Caenorhabditis elegans: one gene and its partner. The protein of the gene in region 2 purifies or fractionates together with the protein of the main gene of each other region. This does not show direct contact. Each region holds a gene or a part of one and is shown on either strand. Other genes may lie near its edges.

Region 1 (4,006 bases), on a different chromosome or scaffold from region 2:
TCGAAAAAAGAGAATAAAATGAATAAAAACGAAACTTTGTTAGAGGGCGGAGACACACCGCAATGCCGCGGCACGCAGTTTTGCAACTTCACCGCACAGTTTTATTTTACGAGTTTTTAGCATTTTTTCCAGCAAAATTTGATTATTTGCCAGATTTCCTGATAAAATTAACGCGAAATTGTAGAAAAGCAGTTAAAATACAACCGTGCGGCAGTGTTGCGAATTCTAAGGGTTTATTTCGAGTAATAAATCTGAAAAACCTCTTGCTGGAGAAGCTTGGCGGCCTTTTCAGGCTTCAAATCCTCATGGATTTGATCCAAATCCTTTCCGGGACGTTTACGTGTCTTGTTCGAAATCGTGTGCTTCCTCTGTCCACCGCTCGGCATTTTTTGCTGAAATACTACTTTTGTTAAGCTTTGAATCTAGACAAAACAGCTGAAAAAGATAATTTCAGGCTCAAAAACCCTTATTTTAGTTGAAAATTTAAAGTTTCCGCGAGTAGATTTCGAAAATTTTTATTTTTTTGGGCATAGGGGAGGGAAAATGAAAATAAAAAGATACACGGGGCGCCCGATCTCGCCCAGCTTCTACTGCTGCTGAAAATTACAAATAAAAAAGATCGAACTTTCAGAGTAATGATCACCTATAAACAACTAAGCGTATAGTCATCAAGTATAGGGAGATATAATAACAAAGACAAATTATAGGGCGCGTGAAAACACAAAAAACTTGGGTGAGAGATGGGGAAGGGCACGAAACAGACAGCTAATTTACAATAACAGTGTAGACGGTTTTTGGTGGAAAAAGGAAGAAAAAAATAAAAGAAATAGACACATGAAAAATGACGGGAAAGAGATCTGTTCAGGCTTGTTGTGGAACTCCGATTAGGCCTTGTGGTGTCTCATCGCCTAGTCGAGAAGTTGATCCGGAGCTATGGAACAGCGAAAGCGAAGATCCAAGACCAAACATATGTCCACAGATCAATGGAGCAATCTGGTTCCAGTTGTCTCCGAAAAACTGCTTTTTGATCTTGAAAAACGTGGCGGCGGTCAGCAGTGCGTCGGATCCAGCTTGATGGCGAACTCCTTGTCGTTTCACGTCCAGCTGATCGGCGACCTCTTGAAGTCCTCCTTTCAGCTTTGCAGACGCGCAATTTGGAGTTCGGAGCAGGATTTTGATGTCGAAGCTGGTTGGGAAGAGAGTTTTGTGGCACATGAAGAACGTTGACTCTTCCTTAGGCAGATCTCCAAGTGTGATGCTTTTCAACAAATATCCAAAGTCGTAGCCGGAAGAGAACGTGAGCCATGTGATCCGTGGATCAGTGATGAGGCCTGACGTCGTCAAAAGTTCTCCGAATACTGCTGTCGGTATTCCATTGTTCTGGAAGAAAGAAATTATTATTAAAATATTGGAAAATCAATATTAAAAAAACCTGCAGCAATGTGAAGTCTATTCCGGCTTGCCGGAGCATTTCGACACTCTCATGCGAGAACATGTCTTCAGCGAAGGAGAAATTGAAATTGAACTGCCAAACATCGCCAGTCGGTGGTAGCTCTCCTTTGTCATTGACCATTGCAAAGCCCACTTGTATTAATTTCAGCATATTCACATTACAGAACACTTGCTGATAATTGAAATCTTCCTTGCTTCGAAATGTGCCCAACGGTGTCGCCACAACTCCGGGAAATTCTGTGTCCATTGCCACGTAGGGATAATCCTGAAAAAAAACCGATTTTTTAAAAATATTCAAACGATCGGCTGTACCTCGACGAATCCTCGAATCCTCGCGAATTCCTCCTCCACGTTTGACATATATACGTTGTGAATCTTGACTTCTGGTGCTCCACTTGCTCCACCTGCTCCACCTGCTCCACCACTGCTACTAGAAGCCATTTTTATGATATCTGGAACTAGAATTTTCGTTTTAGAGTGAACGCTTTTATTTTCGATTTTTTTAAACGAATTTATGGGACAGAAATCGAAAATAGCTTATAAAATAAATAAAATAATTTTTCCGCAAACTTTTAAAGCAGAAAAACGGGAGAAAAAGTCAGTTTGCAAAAGTTTTGAAGCGCAAAAGAAGTTCTTGAACGATCGATTTTGGATCGGCATTAAAGGCGCATGGAGTTTCCCAGCGGTGTGGGTCTCGCAGCGAACGGGAGAGAACTGCAAACTGGCTAGCTGCCAAGTGAGTTTGTTTTACGTGAAACTGTCGAGAAAACATCGTTTTAGTGAATTAAAATGTGTTTTTAATGAATTTTTCACTTATTTTCTTGATTTTTACCCTAAAAACATGAATTTTGTGCGTTAAAATGATGCAAATTCGAGTAAAATACGTATAGAATGCCTATTTTACTCATTTTACAAGATAATTCTTCAAAACACGAATTTAATTACTTTTTTGCAGGTAATAATGCTGAAGATCGCCGTCGCCCTTTGCCTTGTCGCTTCCGCTCTTTGTAAGTTGGAAAAATTAATAAATTCCCACACAAATTATTCAAATGTGTGGCTTGTATAAAAATAAGGCTCGATTTTTCGAATTTTAAGCGTAGATTGTTAACATTTAATACAAATAAAACAATAAATATTCCAGGCGCCAAGTGCGAGTCGCCAAAGTACTCGGCCTCGTCATTCTCCACTACCGACGGATTCTTCCACTACAAAACCACCTTCATCACCGAGTTCACACTTCAATGCAGCAACAACCCGAAGAATATCCAATACACTGCTGAAGTAAACGGTCGCCTTATCCCAGTCTCGATTTCCGACGAGACCGCCAAGTTCCAAGTCTCATGGACTCTTGAGCACAAGGACGCCGGAGCTCAAACCTTTAATATTAACATTTTCGACGAGGAGGGAGCCGCTCAATACGCCAAGAACCCTGTCACCAAGCCACTCTTCACCGTTCAACAAAGCCATGGGGTGAGAATTGCATCATTTTCACATAATTATCTTTAAAAATCATTTTTTGCAGGGTCTCGCCACGAAGTCTCCAATCTCTTCCGAGACTGTCGCCGTCATCATCGTCGTCATTGGCCTTTACTACGCCATTCGTCAAAAGACCGAACTTGTCCACTAAATATCATTGTTTTTATCCCCAAATTACTGGTCAACGCACGTTTGCGTGCTGGGTTTTTGTTCTTTTTGTTTTTATTTATATATACAAAATGTAATTTATTGATTTTTGCCCCTTTTTCCACCCCATTCGTGTATTTATAAGTTCAGTAGCCCCCAAATAGCCATAAATTGAAATTTAATTGCTAGACTGACGTAAAAAAAAGTTTAAAGAGTTGAGAGTGTAAATCCCCGGGAAACTTACTTTAGATAATTTTAAGACCCCCTTTAGGCCAAAATTTTCATTCAGGCAAAATGCTTTTGGCTCGATCCATAATCCGATGCTCGCGGAGCATCTGTTGTGCTCAATTCCAGACCCCATCAAGCTCACGATTCCTGCACACAAGTCGACAACTCCACGAGAAAGAGCCCACTCCGAAGAAGCCAGACGATCAAAAATGGAAAATGTTCAGAATGACAATGTCTGAGGAGCAAAAACTCGCAAAAACGGCGAAAATCGAGCAAATGAAGGCGGAAGAAGCGCCGAAAACGTTGTTCGCAAAAGTGAAATATTATTTTAAAAGATATTGGTATATCGCTGTGCCGGCTCACGCGGCATCGTGTACAGCATGGTTTATCGCATTGTATTTGGTGGTTAAAAGTGGAGTTGATGTGATTTCATTGCTCGAATGGCTTCATATGCCGGATGCTATCGTTGAAAAGGTCAAAAATACGCCCGAAACCGCCGGAGTTGTGGTGGTTTCGCTGATTTTGTACAAGGTTCGGAGGATTTTCAGATGTTTTTTCGAAAACTTTAATTAAATAACAATTTGTTTGGAAAAAACACAGATTTTCTCGGAAGAAACCCAATTTTTTTGTATAAAAAGCACGATTTTTTAGACAAAAACCATGTTTTGTAAAGAAATCAATTTTATTGAAAAAACTAATTTTT
Region 2 (4,688 bases):
GATCACTGCACTTCATTGACTTGTTTTTAATTGCAAGTTTTGCGATGAATATCATAAGTACATGCTCGGCCTCCTCAGCACCTTGATCTCGTTCTCGTTCATCAACAATAATCGATATAAGCCCTTCAATTATCGAATCAATAACAGTATTCCGTTTGCAATCTAACATAGTTGACTTGAAAATTATTTTGTGTGCGACGTCAAAAAGTGCTATCGCTGCAGGCTCTGCTCTATATGTGACTTCGGTGAACACTCTTCTTATACGAGCTGTCAGAACATCCAACGGAACTTCTTCTGTAACATGATTGTCTTATAACGTTTATATATACTCACAAACAAACCAATCGTCAAAAGATTGAAGTCCTCTTCATTTAAATCCAGCTCCTTCTGTTCTTGTATGACTTCTTCATTAATTTCATCTTCTCCGTTTGCATCATCACTTTGTTTACTTACTGAGCTCTGAATAGGCTCATCGAAACTGTCGTTTTGAGGTTCGTTAGCTTTCGATGAAGCTTCTTGAGAATCAAAACTGTCTTCACACGCAGGTTCTTCAAAACTATCTTCATCGTTATCCTCTTCTACCATATCATCGAAAAGATTTCCGAGATGATCACCAGACTCCATCTCAAACATTTAGATTTGTGCGAAAACGGTTTTCAAGTAATTCAAGATATATAAGGGAGATATATAAACATCTTTAAAACAAATGTTCAACAACTTTTTTTTCAAATTTTTATGCTAAAATAAGATTAGGAAAAAATTACAAAACGAGTAACATTACAAATTACGATAAGCTGTCTACAGAAATGCACAGGGAATAACAAAAAGAACCGGTATAACAACCGGATTTGAGATAACTAAAGGTACATTTGTGAGGAGTTGAGTGTTGGGAATAGTACAAAACTGATTGGGCTAGTGAGATCCCTGCATATCTTGGTATGGATAGCTCATGACAGCCGGCTTTTGAAAATATTTTTCAAGTTTTGCTGCAAATTAAGGTTGAATATTATTAAATCATTCTTTGCAATATCTTACCAAGAATGTGCTTTCCATGAGGGAATTGTCTCAAAACGGGAATGTGTGGACGAACAGTTAGGATGAGTTCACGGCGCTGTTCTGATGTAACCTGATCGAACATTTTCTGAACAACGTAGTTGGCGTACTGATCTTTCATCATTTGGACAACAATCGGTACAGATCTGAATGAAATAATTATATCTACATTTTTCATGAATATACATACCCTTCCTGATGGTGACACGCAGCTCCTACGATCATGGACTTGTGATAAACTGCGCCTTGTTCCAAACATTTTTCGATAACGTTCGACGAGTACTTGTGGGTGGCAAACTCGAATAGATTGTTGGAGACACGAGTAACAATAACCATTCTATCCTCTTCACTTCCATGTTCAATGACGTGTTGAACCACATAGTTTCCGTACTGATTATTTGCAATTTCGTCGAAACGTTTATGAATTTGGCCGATAACAGGCTTCGTCTGCGAAGGACTGCAGTGTTCGAGACAACGTTGGACAACACGACAACCGTAGGGATCCACAGACATCTCGTAAATTGTGTTGCTGGATTCTAGAAGCGTATCGACAATGAATTGGACGTACTGTGGACTGACTTTCTCTATGGCCTTCTGAACCACGTGGTTTCCATTTTGATCTTTCATACAACGATGGATGACGTGTCGGATTTGAGAAAGAATTTTTATTTGAAGTGGCTCATTGATTTTTTCCAAAGCTTTCTGAAGAACACGGCAGGCATACATTTGAAACGCGTATTCTGGTACACGATCAATTATTGCATCGACGAGCCGAGCCCAATGCCTTTCTTCGCCATATTCGAAGAATTTCTGCACTACGTAGTTGCCGAAAATATCATCAACGAGCTCATCAGCATTGGAAACGACTTCATCAAATATAGAGTCCTTCTCGAATCTGTCCTTACTGGAAGCAAGTTCCTGTTGAATGAATCTCGAGCCAACTTGATCTTTGGCAAACTTCAACAGTGCTCCACGAATGTCTGATAATTTTAAATTCTTCATCATGGCTGGATTTGCACGATATCTAGTTAGAAGATCGTCGGTGGTTGTTGGTTCCCTGAAATATACAAATATTTAAACTATTTTTGAGTTTAGAAAAAAACCTGTAGGGATTTGAAAATATGCCTGTGGCAGACGGTTGAACCGGTACACGAATACTTTGAGAATGCGCTTGGTGCATTTGTAAATCATTATATGCTGTAAAAACGGAGAATTTCCATATTCGAAATATGTTTTTACTAACCTTGTGCTTGTAGCATTTGTGTCATTTGATTCGAAAACATATTAGAACCATTGTATTGATGATTCATGTAGTTGTTATTGATAGTACTCAAGACATGACCGACATTAGAGCTGATTGGAATATTTTCTTGAGCACAATAACACGATGGTGGAGTTCCGAACATGTGCAATGTATTCTGGCCAATTACTTTTCCTCCTTGATGCATGTAAGTGGCAAATTGAAACTCTGGTGTATCGGGAAGGCGTTCATTTTTTGGATTGGTAGAAATATGACGGCCATACGATCTCTGAAATCATTGTTTTATTGAAAATTTAATTGACAAACACTGCGGCAAATCTATCAGTGTGATTTATTGCATGAACATTGTATTTCTATTCAAAATAAAAAATAATTTCAATATTGCAATAAACAAGACTCACAATCGGAGATCCGCATACACTATCCACTATTTTCTGAGCACCGATGCTCCTCCCAAGAGATTCAATCGGAGAAGCTGAAGGATCAAATGTGCATGTATTCCCAATTGAAATCGGACGACTCATCAGGAACGCAGATTACCCCTAAAATAATTACTTTAGGTCAAGGAGGCATAGTTCAGCTTGAAAAAACAATTGCAACGCGTACTTTATTTATTTTTATTAATTAAAATAGTTGCACATGAGAATTTAGAACATTAAAATGAGAAAACAATGAAAAACAATCAAAAATCACTATTTAGAACAGGAGTTCCGTATTTATTCGGATAATTTTCGAACGAATACCGTAGTCGTGGTGTTCGTGGTGAAACCCATTTCTCCATTAAATGCATGTTCCTTTAAATTATTGAGGTTCCGCACGCACTTGAGAGTCCATGGAAAGGAGAACTGGTGAAAAACTTAATATACGAAAAGGTAATATGCTGAAAGGAGGCGTGGCATGTAGGAGAGTAGAAAAAACATTTTTTTCGACTTTTTGAAAAAATAGTAGGCTTGGATTATGTAGTTTCAATATGGTGTCGGGTACTGTATTTTCTGAAAACCCATGTGATTCGAGTTCGCGGCGAGACCTAATTCTTCAGGGACCTAATTTTATACGAATCCCAAGCTGACCTAGTGAAGACCCTGTGTAGATGTAACAGTAAATGTAAACATAGCATTTATATTAATCTCCGTTTTTCTGGAGATCAAATGCTAAGTAGATCAATTGAATATACTTGTGCTCTCAGAGATACCTGCTCCAAAGTCGATATTTCCTCACTCTCAACTCTTCAGAACTGGCAGAAAGTGTATGAATGAGTGTTGTTATGCATAGTATTGAATATTCTAAATTTATTTTCCATGTGCTTTGTGCTTAACATAGCTTGACCGTTTTGATTCTTTCTTTACAATGAAATGGATATACATCTTCATCTTTTTATTCTCGGGAGTCGAATGACCGTTTCAAAAACTTCAAAGTGTGTAGAGCATGCAAAAGCAAACAACGTGAAGATTCTCGACAAATTTAGTTTTTTTTTTTCTTCCCGACCGTCCGTTCGCCGGCCATCGTATCAAATTTCCTCCCACCTCTATTTCATTGTCATCTCCATTCCAACCCCTTTCTGACCTTTAACGAGAATTAGATTTTGTCTGTTTGTGTATATTTAATTTTGGAAAACAAAGCCTCACATCGAAAAAGGTTGCAGGCTGGCCGATCGTACGAGCGTATTGTGTGTGTGTACGAACATAGAGCGTCCGATTGCATAAGGTTCGTGTAAAGCAGCTTCCGGCCGTGGGAACAACACCATAGTTTGTGTGCCGAGAAGCGACGCCCCTTGTCTCCTCACAGTCCCATCTTTGTTCTTGCTTCGTAACTTGAACTCATCACGACCAAATAGAGTCTTTGACTAGGTGTACCCTTTGGTTGCCATGGTTAAAAGTCTTCATTATTTTATATTACCTTTAATTGGTAATGCCCTAATTCTAAATACACCACCTGAATATCAACCTGGATATGGTTATGTTGGACCAGCATGTGCTGTATTTGTAAGCATTCGTAGAAAACAATTTGAAAATATCTTCCAAATCTTTCAGGACAGTACCCTATTCCTTCATGGTGTTTCCAAGCGAAAGTTGAATGATCACGAACTACACATATTTAGTTCGTATCAGCATGATCTAAGTGCATTCAAAGAGTTTGTCATTCTATTCTCGATTGTTTTGAAAATTAAGCGTTTTACAGTTCATCATCTTCATTTGATTCTTTCGAAGCCTCGTTTCCTACAATTCCAAAATTCTGTGGAGGGTATGATGATTCTATTGAAGTGGTGTTGGATTCTTGTATTGTTCGAGTAAGTTTTTTTTTCCAATTGTGTATAGTTAGAACCATCTGGTTTTAATGTAAATCTTCAATATTACGGTATCAGGGGTCGACACGA

What was found.
Region 1: the proteins of puf-8 (region 2) and ccf-1 purify together in Caenorhabditis elegans (affinity purification with western blotting, with the first as the bait; 2 studies listed by BioGRID). This does not show direct contact.

The regions. Positions count from the first base shown.
Region 1 is NC_003281.10:11,918,328-11,922,333, forward strand, and holds ccf-1 (CCR4-NOT transcription complex subunit 7), read right to left. Parts: upstream 1,911-4,006; 5' UTR 1,894-1,910; coding exon 1,765-1,893; intron 1,718-1,764; coding exon 1,433-1,717; intron 1,381-1,432; coding exon 862-1,380; 3' UTR 501-861; downstream 1-500. Other genes in the region: znf-593 (Zinc finger protein 593 homolog), read right to left, coding at 261-386; trap-4 (Translocon-associated protein subunit delta), read left to right, coding at 2,414-2,459, 2,594-2,922, 2,975-3,079; Y56A3A.22 (DUF1279 domain-containing protein), read left to right, coding at 3,370-3,834. UniProt on the Caenorhabditis elegans protein: Catalytic component of the CCR4-NOT complex which is one of the major cellular mRNA deadenylases and is linked to various cellular processes including bulk mRNA degradation, miRNA-mediated repression, translational repression during translational initiation and general transcription regulation.
Region 2 is NC_003280.10:7,295,392-7,300,079, forward strand, and holds puf-8 (PUM-HD domain-containing protein), read right to left. Parts: upstream 2,857-4,688; 5' UTR 2,839-2,856; coding exon 2,716-2,838; intron 2,583-2,715; coding exon 2,297-2,582; intron 2,251-2,296; coding exon 2,157-2,250; intron 2,111-2,156; coding exon 1,244-2,110; intron 1,200-1,243; coding exon 1,036-1,199; intron 987-1,035; coding exon 913-986; 3' UTR 724-912; downstream 1-723. Other genes in the region: C30G12.6 (uncharacterized protein), read right to left, coding at 1-294, 342-624; C30G12.1 (uncharacterized protein), read left to right, coding at 4,180-4,296, 4,345-4,445, 4,493-4,601.